2 linked regions of the Alligator mississippiensis genome follow. Each later gene encodes a partner of the first gene's protein in a complex. Links are inferred from orthologs where the notes say so. Each region holds a gene or a part of one and is shown in the gene's direction. Other genes may lie near its edges.

Region 1 (7,072 bases):
ACTAAGATTCAGAATAACAAAATGTTGCTCTAAATGTATCAACTTTTGACTAAAAGAAAGAGATAATATTCTGCTGTCATGAGATTAATATAAGGAAATAGCTATCCTTAAGTCTACTTATCCAAAATGACCCATGTTATTTTGTAGTGAAACTTGGATAATGCCTCTGAAATCCATCAGCCAACTAAAACAACTAGTATTATAATGTGTATTAAAACACTCTCTGTCACCCTTCCTTGTCAAAATTAAAGGTCCAGAAGTTTGGTAAACATAATCTTCCCATGCATTTAGTAAAATATCATTCATGACATCTGATTCTGGTTAGATTTAAGTGCATTTTAAATATGCTTATGTAAAAATATCATTATCTTTGGTAACTATAGCCACTGATAAAAATCTACCTAATTAAAATGGAGGAGTTTTATAATACTACCATCTATGAATAAAGCATTTTAACAGATGGAGTTCCTTAACAGATGGAGGAAATTGCAGCTCAGTGAAAATATTTAGCAAGGTCACAAAGACTTCTCTAGAAAAACACCAAGGACAAAGGTGTTGGCAGAGGTATCCCATCGGTGGTAATGCTAGGATGGGACTCAAGAACTCCTGGTTCTACAACCTGTGGCTGACCCATATGACAATCTTTTCTTTTTGGTGGCTTTAAAAAAAATCATCATTCCTGATGAAAATGAAGTCTTAATAGAAAAAATAAAAAGCAAACTATAAGAAATAAAGACAGTAATTATATAGATAAAATTCCACAGCTATCAAATTAAAGGACTGAATTTGCTTTCATTTAAGTCAATAAATACCTCTGAATCCTGATTCCCCCATCCAGTCACATACTTGAAACTGTCCTTATCCTTATTCTGCAGCACATTTTTGAATGAGAGAAATATATCCCCCAATTCTTGGAGTAGGACATGAGCAGCTTATATCTGTATGCTCCTTTATACCATAGGCTCTTTGAGGAGAAAATTGTTGTGCAACCCAATCTCACTTTTGCAAAGCTAACCTAAGCAAACAAGTTTCATCTACTTCAGTCTATGCCGTAATATTCTTAGTTACAATAAGTGACTCTTATTCAGCAATACGAACTCATTTTACAGAACACAAAACATTTAAGCTCTTTTAAGAATACTAGTTGTGTTATAATAGCAAAATGAAAGGAGCAGTATTTGGGAACATGGATAAAATTGATGTGCCTGGTATGATAACAATAGAGAAAAACATACTCCACCTGAGACACTGTCCCCCTTTCACTTGTAAATCAGTAGCTTTGAAGGAAGCCTTGGGTTGTACAATAATCAAACCTGTTTTTGAAGCTTTTTCCATCCATGTGTACAACAGAAAAATCAGGGGTGAAACTTCCCAGACAAAGTAGAGATCACGTAGTGAACTATGCAGAAATGCCAAACCAAACATGCCCTGTGGTTGCAACTGTGCCTTATCTGTGCTTCCTTGTGCCACTCTGGGCAGAACTGGTGGGGCCTAAATAAAGACATGGGGGAAAGTTATGAGGTGACCTTACAAAAATAGACAGCCTAAATCTTCCTCAAATAACAAGAAATAATGTCTGAATAATTATCTTCTCTGTTAAAGAATGCTAAGATTACAACCAAATAGTTTAAGGCAAGAGACTAGATAAGCATTAGGAAAATCCAGGTGAATTCATCAGATTTCAGTGAAGCTGATATGATAACTGATAAGTAGACATGAATTGAGGCCCTTTGTCATTTGCAATTGAAAAAAAAATGGGTAGCTTGGTGTATAAATGATACCCACCGCACTGCATGCAGGTAGAATGAACCAATTACTAATCCCACTATGGCAGAGGATCCCCTTAAAACTTAGCCTTAGGAGTCCTGACTGGAAAGTAAAAGGCCTGTGACTTTTAGGAGTAGAAATTCAGCTAACACTGTATCTTCATAAAAAAATCTTTAGAACATTTCCTTATAAAAATCATAATTATACAAATAGTGAACAATGTTCCTTCAAACGTCAGTACTTTTTTTCTTCTTCAATAATGCTTAGTTTCAAGTCTCTACTTTAAGCTGTTTCTTTCAGTTATTCCAGGTACAATCATTTTACCCTGAAAATAGAGGGGACTCCCCCCACCTCTTCACCCACAGCTAACGTTAACTCAACACGATGGACACATCTTCCTCAAATAACTCAGAGTAGGCCTGAGACCAGGAACAGACATTCTCGTGTGTGAAAGCAGTATGAGAAAGTTACAAGCAACAGAAAAAAAAGGAAGGCTGGACAGAAAGAAGCAAGAATTCGGCTATAATTCTGCATTCACAGGCCATGATGGGAATCCTGTAATTCAAAATAAGGCATAACTAGTACATTATGTTTCATAATTAGTACATTATGTACATTAGTACATCTCCCTAATGATGGAGATGTACTATTATGTTTCTTTGCACTGTTACTCTTCTTAACAACCACCACTTTTCACTTGGGTTCAGGAACCAAGATGCTACGTCATGCACTGCATTTGTAGGGTTGGTGCAGGCAGGTTGTAGTCAAAAAACTAAAGATTCTCAGCAGCTGTATAAACTGTTTTTATTCTTTAAAAAAAAAATGTTAGAGCAGATGGATGACCTTTTAGGGCTGCTGTTCATTCCACTTGTTAACTCAAGATACCTCAGTAAGTAAATAACACCCCCCCTAACTCTAGGACTCTAATACAGCCACTCAAGTGGCAGTGGGTAGGGCTGCATCCACAGCAGTATTCCTGCTTCTTCAAGCCAGCATAGCCAGGTATTAAATATTAAATTATAATATTGGAAGCTCAAAATTATCATATTTTCTGAAAAACGATTGTACATTGAACAAGTATGAAAATAAGCATGCAAATAAGTTTTATTTACTTTGTATTGCTCCGTGTAACTCGCAAGTGAGTGAGTGAGAACTGGGTCATCAAAGTTGAAGCTTTTCTTTATTTTGAGGTAAGCAGTCATAAGAAAATGCTGATAGCACATCTGAAAATGGCACTGCATAGGGGAGGGTGCACCCTGTCCAGTGAACAGGACACCCAATGAGGCTTGTAATTAGCTTCCCATGGGAGGATCTCGGCTACACACCAACTTTATGGAAATGAACAACTCCTCCCTAGCTTGCTCCTGTGGCCTTTGGTTAAGGGCAAGTGCTATGCGGGGGCATCCGAACCCCAAGCCTCCAGGCCTTTGCCTGCATGTGGGATGCCCACCAATGGATTTGGGAATATCTGATGCTTGCTGGTTGTACGGTGTATGATGCTTGAACGATTTGAGTGTTGCTCAGTCAAGAGGATTCGGAACCGATTCTGCTTATTTGACCTGAAATACAAAACAGTTCCCCCCCAAAAAAGTATCCAAAAATCAGCTAAAGCTTCACTGAGAGTGAGGTGGGTTTTGCATATGCTGCATCAATTAGCTGCCTCCAAATTATCGTCAGCTTTGAACACTGATCAAACATCATACCTGGGTTGAAATGATTGGGCAGATATGATCATTATCATAACTCTGGCAACACGGCCTCGGCGTCCCATGGCAAAGACGTTTTATGCCAGCCCCAGCGGAGAGCGGCTGCGAGCAGGCGAAGGGTAGCAGGGCAGCTACCCAGCACGAACACTACAAGTCAGGCTATGTATGCTAGGAGCTCCTCCAGTGAGACTAGGCCCCGCCCCTCTCAGGCTGGTGGGAGGGGGGCGGAGAGCGGGGTCCGTCCCCCGCCCCCCGGTGTTGGTCGGAATGCGCATGCGCGGCGGCGGCGGGCTTTAGGCCTCAGAATGTCACTCAAGATAGCAACGCCCAATCAGCGGGCGGCGGGGGCGGGGTAAATGGTGGCTGCGCTGTTTGGGGGCGGGCTGGTTGGTCCTGTTGCGGGGAGTCATCTGACCGCTCTCTCCGCAGTCGGGCCACAGCCTGGACTGTGCGGACGATCAGTTTGGGGCTGTTGCTGGAAGAGGAGGAGCAGCAACTCAGGTTTGTGGTGGCTCGCGGGGAACAGCGGCGGCTGCCGGCAACGAGGTGAGCGCGGCCGGGCCCTAGCGACGCGCACTGCCCGGTGGGAGAGGCGCGCACCGCCTCGCCTTCAGTATTCGGGGGCTCGTGGGTGGACGCCGCCTGGCCAGTACCATTCGGGGTCCCGCAGGGGGGATGGTGTCACGTGATGCCCCCCCAGCTCTGAAGCTTTAGCCTGACCCAGGTCCCCGCCTGGGGGCGCCTGTGTGGGAGACACACATAAAGGCGCTGCCCGTAGGGGGGGGTGTTTCTAGGCTGCAGGAGCCACGAGGGGGTGGAGGTGCGCTTTGGGGTCAGGGTGTGAAGCGGCTTCACCTTGGCATGGGCATTGGAGCATCTGGGTGCAGCTGGGAATTTGCTAGGGGCAGGGGGAGGGAGTGGGGCTGCTTACCCACAGGCTTGCCCCTTGGCTTTGTTTTGGACCCAGGCATTGAAGGAGTCTTTGGGAAACAATCCTAGAAAATGAGTGCTGGAAGGGACCCCAGGAGGTCCCCTAGTGCAGCAGCTCTTATCTTGTGGTCACCACCCAAAAGTGGGTGGCAAGAATATGTGAAAGGATCATGAATAAACTTTAAAAATAGATTCTCCTGTAATGGAGAAAAACATGGGAAACTGTGGCTTTTCCCTTGCAGGCTGGCTGCTTGGAGCCCCTGATGCCCCACACATCCCTCCACATGCTGGGGGGTTGGGGCTTGGGTTGAGGGGCAAGAGGTCAGGAGTGAGCGGTACCAGCAGGATCCGGGGCTGTTTTCTACTTAAAGTTGGGACTGACCATTGATGACTACAAATGGGTCCTGATATAAAATAGGTTGAGAACTGCTGACCTAGTGCAACCCCCTGCTCACAGCAGGACCTTCCCCAACTAGATCACCCCAGCCCAGGCTTTGTTGAGCTAGGCCTTCAAAACCTCTAAGGATGGAGAGTGTACCACCTCTCTGTTCCAGTGCTTTACTACTCTCCTCCAGAGGAAGTTTTTCCTAAGATCTAGTTTCAACTTCCCCTGCTGCAACTTGATTCTGAAATCCAGTTGAGGGTTGGGGATGCAGAAGGCGTTGGGGTGTGTGGAGTCCTGGGAGAAGCGGGTTGGTCCATTTTTTTTTTTTTTTTTTTTTTTTAAACTAGTGGAAGAAAGTTCTCCACACAATGCATCGTTCAAGTGTAAACTCCTCGCCTCCTTCATTTGAGCTTCATTTGAGCTTGGGGCTCCTCACCATCAGGAGCTGACGCTGTAGCCAGATTCAAAATGGGATTGCAGCATGGGATGTTGTGGTTAGATAGGAGGAAAAACTTTCTCCCCAGGAGGGTAGGAAAACACTGGAATAGGTTATGAGAGAGGTGGTAGACTCTCCCTCCTTGGAGGCTTTTAAGACCTGGCTAGACAAAGACTGGATTGAGATAAAAGATTTAGGGACGGTCCTGCACTGAACAGGGGTTTGAACTCCCGAGGTCCCTTCCAGCCCTCATTTTTCTACAATTCTGTAAAATTCTTGGTTGAAAGGGGCCTCAGTGGCGATTGAGTATGGAAGTGAGGAGCACAGCCTCTGAACCAAAACTTTTTCTAGACCCTGAATGCTGGAGGCTGCAAGTGAGAGAGGAACAGTTGGAGGAAAAGCCCTGGTCATAATCTGTTCTCTCTCCCTTCCAGCCTCTGCTCTCTGCCCATGTGACATGGCCTTTTGATATGCCATAATGTGACACGGGCCAAAGCCCACCAACTAGAGCTATATTGCAGTAGGGATTTGACCCCCACCCCCTTTGGTGATGGGGGCCACTATGGGCATATCGTTGATTATTTGGGATAACTGAAAGCCAAAACAGGGATGGGAATGAGGGTCATAAGTTCAAAATGAGTGAACTGAGGGGGGACACCAAGGAGACCACCCTGGATGTATGACACAGGCCTACTTGTTGCCTTAAAGGAATTGTGGGCCAGTGCCCACTACGAGAAACTAAAAGCCTCCCTTATAAAGGGAGGCCACTTTGAAAGCAGCAACTCATTCCGTGGGAACAACTGAAAACATAACAAGGACAGGAGCAGGTTCAAACTGAGTGCACAAGGGAGGGCACTGAGGAGAGCACGCCAGATGTGAGAGACAGGCCTTTTGACATGCCACTGGGGAATCATGGACCTTGGGCCACCAAATGAAACTATAAGCCCCCCTGCCACTAGGAGCATGTCGCTGATTTCTTGGGACAAATGATAACAAAACAGGGATGGGGCTGGAGGTCAAAGGTTCAAGACTAGTGCACTGAGGGGGGACACGGGGCAGAGCACACTGGATGTGCGACAGGCCTATTTTTTGCCTAAAGAATGCAGGCCAGTGACCACCAGGAAACATTATAAGCCTCCCTTAAAAAGGAGGGCCACTAGGTAGACAGGAGTGAGGTCCAAAGTTTCAAATGAGTGCAACAAGGTGGGATACGGAGCAGAGCACGCTGAATGTGTGACACAGGCCTATCTGCCACTTCAGGGGTTTGTGGGAGGAATGCCTACCACGTGAAACTAAGGCCCCCTCAGAGAGGGAGGCAACAGGGAAAGTGGCAGCTGATTGCTTGGGATAAATTATAACAAAACAGGGATGGGAGTGGAGGTCAAAGGTTTAAAATGAATGTGCCAGGGGGGTATAGTGGGATTTATTTGTGACGGGATCCTTAGCAGGATGGACTTATGGTCTGATCCAGTGAATGTCAATTCTTAAGTTCTTAAGTGCAGTGGTGTGCAGGAACTGCAGTTATGATAGATGGTACTTGTCCAAGAGTGAAGTAATACTATACTATTTATTCTTTAACTTTAAAATCATATTTCAGATTTTTGTCCCCCCACCAAAAATTGACCTTGGTTAGTGGATTTAAGCCAGCTAAAGGTATCTCAGATCACTTTTTATGTCTCTGTGGGCTTGCCTTGTTTAGTGGTAATGCTATCTTGGAACATACTTTAATTTCTAGACCTTGCATCCTTTGGCAAGTGTGAGTAACTCTGTGAAGAGCTTGTTCAGACTTTTTAGTGTGTGAATGTTTGTAAGGTTCAGGTTTTAGTCAGTAAATCTGTTTGCTCATCT
Region 2 (8,265 bases), on another chromosome or scaffold:
GCTGCATGACACCTCCTTGACTAAGATTTAAAAAATGCTACTTACCTAATATTCTCACTGACTACAGGGCAGTGAAAAACTGGGAATGATGAATAGGAAACATAAGCATAGTATTATAAAACAGCTCTTTAAGTATCTGCATGTATTTTTGATCTTGTATGTTGTGATGTCATTTCTTTATAGTAGTATTTTTAAATGTTTTCTTTCAGAACCAGTATAACCTAGCAAGAGCACAACAGTCCTATAAGTCTCTAGTACAAATACATGAGAAAAATGGTATGTAAATTTTGCAGCTCTGCTTGTTTGTACAAATTGTACAGCAGCATAGAAAATGTTTTTTACATCTGTTGTGTTTGCTCTTTGGTATTGAATAAAACTTTTTTAAAATATTGGAGCATTTTGCTGCTTAAATACTTTCCTGCTGTTTCTTTTGTCATCTTAGTTGAGAAGGATAGCAGTACTTGCAACTAAACAATCTACTGTTCACTATAAACTTATGCTATATCAAGTAAAATTATTCCATGCTTCTGGCGTGTGTTGTACTGTATTTTCACTTCAATGTGCAAAGTTGTTCTTATGGCATCTTTTGTGTCGCATCAAGTCTCCTTTTCCTTCCCCAAGAAGCTAATCAAATTATAGCACAAGCAGACAACAGTTAATGAAAGGATCAAGTTTACAGGACTGCAAGTTAAATGCAGCATGTCCAGGGGATGTTAGCTTGGCTGAACTATTCAGTTCTGCTCTGGAAAGTAGTGGCACACATCCCATACAAAGCTAGTTACCACCAGTTTGTCCTCTCAGAACTGGCACTTTCTCAAAGTGCATTAGAAATGGGACTGGTAGAATTACATCCACCTTCCCAATTGCAAAGGGGTGCAAATAGTTTGAGACCCTGAGGGGTTAAATGACTGTCAAGTGACAAGATGGCAGTAAGGCCAGAAACAAGTCTCTAGATTTATTTTTTTTTTCCCAGTCTTGAGTACCAGTTCCTGTGAGGCCATGTGGATGTGGCTGCCTCCCAACACTTAATGTTAATGCTTGTCTAGTAGAGTGAACTACTTGAAGCAAGTATTGGGTCTAAGAAATCTTATCATGATCCTTCAATTGAAAAAGACCTCACAAGTGTCGTCTAGTCCAACCTTTTGGCCCCCAGGCCATATAAGTGGTTGCACTCAAGCTGTGCTGCCTCTACCCAGCCTTGGGCACCCAGACTGGAACCCAGCCCTGCATACATAGATCAGGCTCTATGCTGCCTCTGCACAGCCTGCATCAGCTCCATGCTGCCTCTGCCCTTTGCAGGGCCCCTCAGAGATCTGGAAATTTGGCAGCAAGGAGCAGCAATTTAATGCTACCACCACTTCCCCTACACACCAAGCTTTTGGATCTGTGGGGGGCTTTGTGGGCCGGATCTGGCCTTTGAACTGGAAATTACACGCCCCTGATCTAGTTCAACCCCTTGCACAGATGCAGGATTCAGTGTACCTAAACCATTCCAGACAAGCGGTTTATCAGTCGTATTGAAAGTCTACTATGAAGGAGTTTGCACTGCTACAATTGCCTGGCAGCCTTAAAAGGATCTCATGGCAAACCCAGGTGCAGCAGCACCCTGGTTGAGAATCACTGGTATAGATCTCAAAACTGGCATATGTCCAACTTTAGCAGGCAAAATAAGATTTATATAAGCACATGCCTATGTAGTTAAACTGCAGGTGCTAGATACATGGCTTGTTGGATTGAAAAATAAGGTCCTTTTAAGGTTTTGAGATGTATGAAAACTAGATGGTGATCCTTGTTCAGTTCAGCATGCCAAGAGGAGCCTCAAATGTTAATGCTTTATTTTCAGATATAAATACTAGCTTTCCTTCTGCCGGGTGATGTTTAGGGCAGCCGGTGCCCTTTTGTTAAATTATTCCTATTTTTATAATCAAATTTTAAGCTTCCATCTTGCACAAATCAAGATAGAGCAAAAAGTTACCTTCTTGCTTACTTAGTATGGGCTTTGCAGTTGTTCTAACATTTGCACCTAACCTGTTTCTTCTACAGGCTGGTACACTCCTCCAAAAGAAGATGGTTAATACTGAGGACTGTTTTACACCTGGACCAACATCAACAAACAGAGCTCTTTTTTATTTCTCTCCAACACACACAGACTCAAGCTACAAGTGCCCCTACAACAGCCGTACTGAAGACTTTAGCTATTAGATAAATTAGTGGATAATCTGTCAACTGACACATTCAGTATAAATTACAGCCTTACCATTCCGCTCTTCTTAGGTATCTTGGACTGAGCAGTTTTGGCCTGTACTGTATTTGTCCCTCTGGATTAAGTATACTTGGGTCATTCCCTCCCTTTTCCCACTTTTTTTTTTTAATTTAAAAGTGTAAACTCTTTAAAGCAGGCTATCAAGTTACTAAAGATCACTCAATAGAAGTTGCTCACAACACTTTTTTGTGTACTTCTTACCTTTTTGCAGAACGTGGACTGCAGAGATTTGCATTGTATTATTTCATTTAAAGCCAACAAAGTTTAATACATTGTTTAATACTGTTCTAGGAAATTTCAGGTCTTGTAAATCACAGTAGTTTTTCTGGTCTAAAATGACAACATTTGTAGTATTGCCAAATTAATGATATAGGAAAACAACATGTATGCTAAGTCATTAAACTTTTTTTTCATGGCTGTGTTGAGGATATGAACTGTTTCTTGGAAGAGATACTCTTAATTAGATTGTTGTATTTTATAAGCAGAGCAAGGCTGTGCCAATAAAATCTTGTAACTAGTCACTTCCACTGGGGCATCAGAATCTTGCTGGGCTGTTCCTGCTACTTGTTGGCTCAATCTCTTAACAACGGCCACAGTATGAAGCTTGAAGTTATTTAAGATACTAAAAACCTTTTTAGGTGTTCCATTTTTTTTTATTAACGGGTTGTTGCAATCATTTGTAAACTAATGAACTTAAGTGATTGGCACAAATCAAGATGAAAATCCTTGAGCAAAAATTTTATAGAAAAAGCTAAATAAAGTACAGAAAGACATCACCCGATTCAGAGATTTTAAAAGTGTTGCCATAGTCATGACAGTGGTTTTGATATTGAAAGACTAACGGGAACTATTCTTTCTTAGGAAACGAATCTGGGTCTGTGTAATTACTATGTTTCATTGCCTTATCTAAATCAATTCTATTTTGGTTGTAGCATTAGGGATTAGACCTTTACCCCCAGGGGTTGAAATAAGGGTGTGTACCATGGATTAAGCACTTTTTAGAAGCCCAGAAGCATGTGTGTTGTTTTTTTTTTTAGTTATGACTATCAAATTTGTGCTCTTCTTCTTTTCTCTATCAGGCACCCCTGGGTCCTTGTGCATTTGCTTCTAGATCCAGTTTTTAGCTTGAAAGAACAGACTGAAGAGATTTGGCACTACTCCTGATTTTATATATTATTTCAAATAGTTTTCTAGGAAGTATAGTGAATGACTTCCCAGCCTTTCTGCTTCCTTGGTTGTATGTATATTTGTATTAAATCCTGGTAGCCAATTGCTCAAATAGCAAACTTAAGTGAAAGGCAGAACTCTTTAAGCATTAAAGTTCCTTAAAACCTGAGGCTAAAATCTTTGAATACATTATTGAATTCTTTAATATTCTAATGGGCTAGCAGGTTGACAGATGCACATTTGGCATGCTTTGTTTTGGATTTCATTTTTCATTGCAGAATTATTTGGCAATGTACAGTAATTTGTAAACTTGCATCAAGTTTATGAATAAAGAACCATTTTAAGAATTATTCTTTTTGTGGTTACTGTCTCTGGATGCAGGCAGCATTCTGTTCATGAGTACCTTGTGTTATCAGTGTAGGAGGGAGTTTAACAGGTTGCTGGTACTTTGCTTTACAGTGAAGTCTTGCTATCAGGCAGCTCTTTCATTATCCCCTAAATCAGGGGGTTTTCAACCTTTTTTTAAGGAGTGTACCCCCCTAAAGAGTTGGGGGTGGCTCCTCCAGTGACTGGTCAGCACACAGCATGCTTTTCAAGTACTTTTGGTGTGCTTCCCAGGTACACTCTGGTGCTGCAAAGAAGCGGGGGTACTTGAGAAGTGTGCTGCTGCCTTGCATACCCCCCCAGGGCCTTCCCAAGTATATACACGTATCCCTGGTTGACATCCCTTGCCCTAAATGAAGGATCATGAAACCCTGAATAGTACAAATTATCCTAGGATCGGATCTTCCACTGCTGATACCAGAAGTACTAAAACGGCTGGCTAGGGTGGAACCATTTTAAGATGCTGTTAGAGCTGTTAGTAAACTTGAAAGCATACAACTGAGTTAGAGATTGACAGCATTTACTGTCACCAATACCTTGCCTTGCACATGAAAGTGCCCATTCGTTGGCAAAATGATGACTACTTAGGTTTACATATCATTCAAATGATATCCTCTCTATGCAGCACAATGCTGGTTTTAATACTAATCCAAAGGTAACAGCACTGCCTTCTCAATTGCCAGTGGCACTTGTGTAACAGTTGTTTCCTTGACGGTTTGGTCCGGCTTGCTCTTAGCTTGGGATCTTGCAAAATTACAACAGGATGTCCTGTGGCACCAAGACTAAGAGATTAGTTTTAAGCGGAGCTATTTTCTTAGCCATTTGCCTGGAATGACCGGCTGGTGGCATAACTAGGCCAACAAAAGGCCTTCATGTCTGATGGAAAACATTTTTAAAAAACAGCTTTTACTGCGGAGCTTCCTTCTGAAGCTGCACGGCCGATGGGGCGGCGGGGCCAGTCTCTCCTGCAGCCTGGTGCCGCTCTTCGTGCTCTCGCAGCCTGCTGTAACTGCGTTCCCCAACTCAGTGCCTGCAGCACTGTCCTGGCAGATCTAAACGCATTTCTTTTTTAAACGCCAAACTCGGTCCATGCCCCAAATGTGCTGGAAACCTCGAGGCCCCCGCTAGCCTTCCCCAGCTACGTTCTCGTAAACGCCCCCCGGGGAGGAGGCGGAAGGACTGCGGCGCTAACGCATCACGTGGCCACAAACCAGAAGCGGAACCATCGTTCCCCAGTCTTTCCCCCACAGTGATCGTCGCTTCCGGCCACGTGACTCCGGGTGAGGCTCGGACGCGGATACCGTGTGATGACGCCATCAGAGCGTGCCGCCGGGCTGCGCTCTGTTCCCCGCCTGGCCGCTCGCTGCGCGGGGCCAGGCTCCAGGCCGCGGCGGTCGCCATGGAGACGGACACGCAGGGGCCCTTCGTGCTGAGCAACCTGGCCGAGGTGGTGGAGCGGGTCCTGAGCTTCCTGCCCACCAAGGCGCTGCTGCGGGCGGCCTGGTAGGCACCGGCCCCGCAGCCCTCGCCCGCCCCCTCCGTGCGCAGGGCTCCCCCAGCTCCGGCCCCGTCCGCCGCTAGGGCCTGGGCCCCGCCGCCCGCTCCCTGCCGCGGGGCTGGGCTGGGGCCGCTCGACGCCAGGCCGCTGTGTCCTTCCGCGGGGTTCGGCCGCGCCCGCTGCTGCTGCCTCGCGCCGGCGGCGCTCGGGGCGGGAGGAGCTGGCGGCGGGCGCGGGGTCGCGTGGCCAAGTTGCACGCAGGTTGGAGCAGGTCTGCGGCGGCCCCTCCCAGGCCCAGCCAGGCTGAGGTCTCTTAGGTTTAAATGTTTCCAATGGAGACTTGTTTACGAGGCTGAGAAACTTACAGCACCCGCACGGCCTGCATCTGCTCCTTGGGATCCCGATCACCGCTAAGAACGCGGGCGGGGGGTGCTGACGCCTTGTATCCAGAGAACAAGGAGCAAGCCAAGCCGTCTCTGCAGCGCTCTCGGCATCTGTACCATATCAGCATTTTATGTTGCTGATACCTACATTTTGTGCTGCAGAGAAGAACTGGGAATGAATTATTCAACGTACTGCTCTTGTGCGGGAGGAAAAAACAAGTCTCTTAACATACGGCTGTCTCTAAGTGAGGCAGCTTAGTACCGGATACTGTCAAAAACATTTTATAACTGGAAGCAACTACTAGGCCTGTACCCATGCAAATAAGTTATTCAAGTTATATAGAAGGCAGTGGCAAACAGGGTGCATTTGTTTTAAATCAAATCGATTTAAATCAGTGGTCATGAAGCCTCAATTTAATCATTGTTTTTCTACAAAAAGTGCATCTTTGTTTGATATCCTCTATTCATTTAACTTCTTGAAACTTTGCACTTTTAGAGAAAGGTAATGGCTTGACTGCATGTATGCAAACTTGCAGAGAGACAATAGGGGTGATGGGTAGGTAATCAGGTCTGTTATCTTTCATCTCCATGTACTGCTGTTAACAAGGATGTTATCTCTGGAGATGACAAACTCTCCCTATGCCTGAAGAAGGGCATTTGTGCCCGAAGCTTGCAAAGAGCAATTTTTCCAACTATTTAGTTGGTGTAATAAAAGATTTTGCCTGTCCTCAAAGAACTTTGTCTGCCTATGATCTCTGGAGACACAAATACACTGTTTGAGAACTGAAACTAAGCATCACAGAGATGCTTAATGGGATCTCCTAGACTGAGCACTGAGTCCCATTGGGTAGAGTGGTTTTCTTTAATCTTTACAATCTATAGAGGAGTTTCCGGGAGCCGTGTAAGATTGGACCCCTAATATAGTCCATGGCCTGTTGTGACCTATTTATAAAACTTTAAAAAAGATTACATGAATATATTGTCTCAAATATTGTATATATAATTAGAAGTTATAATCCCTATTCCATGATTACATCTTTGAGTTTTATCATATCTTAAATTAAAACTATCTAAATTATTTTTAAGCATTTAAAAACTGATTTACATTTAAAAAAATCAATTTATTTTATTTTATTTTAATTTAAAATTGTTGATTTTTATCCACCCTGGTGGCAAGCCACAATAATCCCAGTTCCAATTTAGTCATTCCAAGTACTTCTTTAAAGGAGTGTGGGTAACTTCTGACAGCGTGTGATAAGCATTTCCAAATCAAAAGGGAAAACAGTGGGGGACTGACACATGCCAAAGTTCCCTTTTGTAGTTGTGACGCGGAATCCTTGTATTTCAGCGTGTGCCGGTTATGGAGAGAATGCGCTCGTAGAATACTGAGAACGCAGCAGAGCGTAGCCTGGGTATCCGCCCTTGAGCCTGGTCCATCTGACACTCATTCGCTCGTCCGCACATTAGCAGAGGAACTTGAGGTAGGAGAAAATATCACAATTACACTGATACTCGTGGTTGAGTTTCTAGCTACTGTGGCAAGATCTTTGAGCAGACTCCTGTTTCTGCTGATGTATTTCTCAGTCCTTCCATAGCCTTTTTAAGTTTCAACATATATATATGAGGTCTGTTCAAAAAGAATTGAGACTGATGCTGTAGGAAACAAAAGATTTAATTTAGAGGGGTTTCGGCTTAATCTCCTTTGAAGTATGCTCCTTCCGCAGCCACACGCTTCTCCCAACGTTTCTGCCATTGTTGGAAAAACCTCTGATAAGCAATTTGTGGAATCACTAAAAGCTGGTCAGTCGCATTTTGTTTTATAGTTTTCACATCACAAAATCTTCCTTTCAAGGTTTTCTTTAGCTGAGGGAAGAGAAAAAGGTCACATGGGGCTGTATCGGGTGAATATGGAGGTTGCGGCACTTGTAGGATATGGTATTTGGCTAAAAATTGCTTCACAAGCTGTGCTGAGTGGTCAGGTGCATTGTCGTGGTGAAGCATCAGTTGGACCTCCACTTCTCTGGTTGTTTTTCTGGTCATTTCCTTCCCAAATCACTGGTTAGAATTGAATGACATGAACCAACAGAAATTCCATCTTCTGCTATCTCTCAGATAGTCAATCAAACCAAACTGTGAACCGCTGCCACATTTTCATCATTTCATGATGTTGAAGGGCATCCGGAACGCTCGTCACTTTCGACCGATGATTGTCCTTCTTTAAACCAATGATACCATTCGAAAACTCTTGCACGGCTCATAGTGTCATCACCAAATGCTATTTTAAGTAATTCAAATGTTTCACTTACCCTTTTCCTGATTTTCATGCAAAATGTAATGCATAGAAAGTGTTCTGAACACTGACATAACAAAAGGGGACATGAGATGCAAACTATCTTGCTTCAGCTGCTGGCCACAGAAAACTGGGGAAACACCATAAGCTACAAACTTGTCCAGAGGAGTCCCAACATGCCCAGACATTAGAGCTGTGCACAGTTTCGGTTGCTGAGTCGATTCGGCCCAATTCAGCAGCTGAATTTCTGAATCGAATCAGAAGACCCTTTAATCTCTCC

Evidence for each region.
Region 2: the proteins of BACH1 (region 1) and FBXO22 are in contact, whole or in part, in a cryo-EM structure (PDB 8S7D), measured with the Homo sapiens proteins. The link is inferred for Alligator mississippiensis from reciprocal best matches to the Homo sapiens genes BACH1 and FBXO22. Residues at the interface, in NP_001177.1 of Homo sapiens: Ser7, Val8, Phe9, Ala10, Tyr11, Glu12, Ser13, Ser14, Val15; in NP_671717.1 of Homo sapiens: Asp366, Gly371, Asn372, Phe373, Ile374, Leu375, Arg376, Lys377, Cys378.

The regions. Positions count from the first base shown.
Region 1 is NC_081824.1:289,798,084-289,805,155, forward strand, and holds the start of BACH1 (transcription regulator protein BACH1), read left to right. Parts: upstream 1-3,840; 5' UTR 3,841-3,974; exon of another isoform or gene 3,975-4,019; intron 4,020-7,072. UniProt on the Homo sapiens protein: Transcriptional regulator that acts as a repressor or activator, depending on the context. Binds to NF-E2 DNA binding sites. Plays important roles in coordinating transcription activation and repression by MAFK.
Region 2 is NC_081834.1:30,397,059-30,405,323, reverse strand, and holds the start of FBXO22 (F-box only protein 22), read left to right. Parts: upstream 1-5,113; 5' UTR 5,114-5,213; coding exon 5,214-5,317; intron 5,318-7,043; coding exon 7,044-7,176; intron 7,177-8,265. Other genes in the region: UBE2Q2 (ubiquitin-conjugating enzyme E2 Q2), read left to right, coding at 210-276, 2,044-2,075. UniProt on the Homo sapiens protein: Substrate-recognition component of the SCF (SKP1-CUL1-F-box protein)-type E3 ubiquitin ligase complex that is implicated in the control of various cellular processes such as cell cycle control, transcriptional regulation, DNA damage repair, and apoptosis.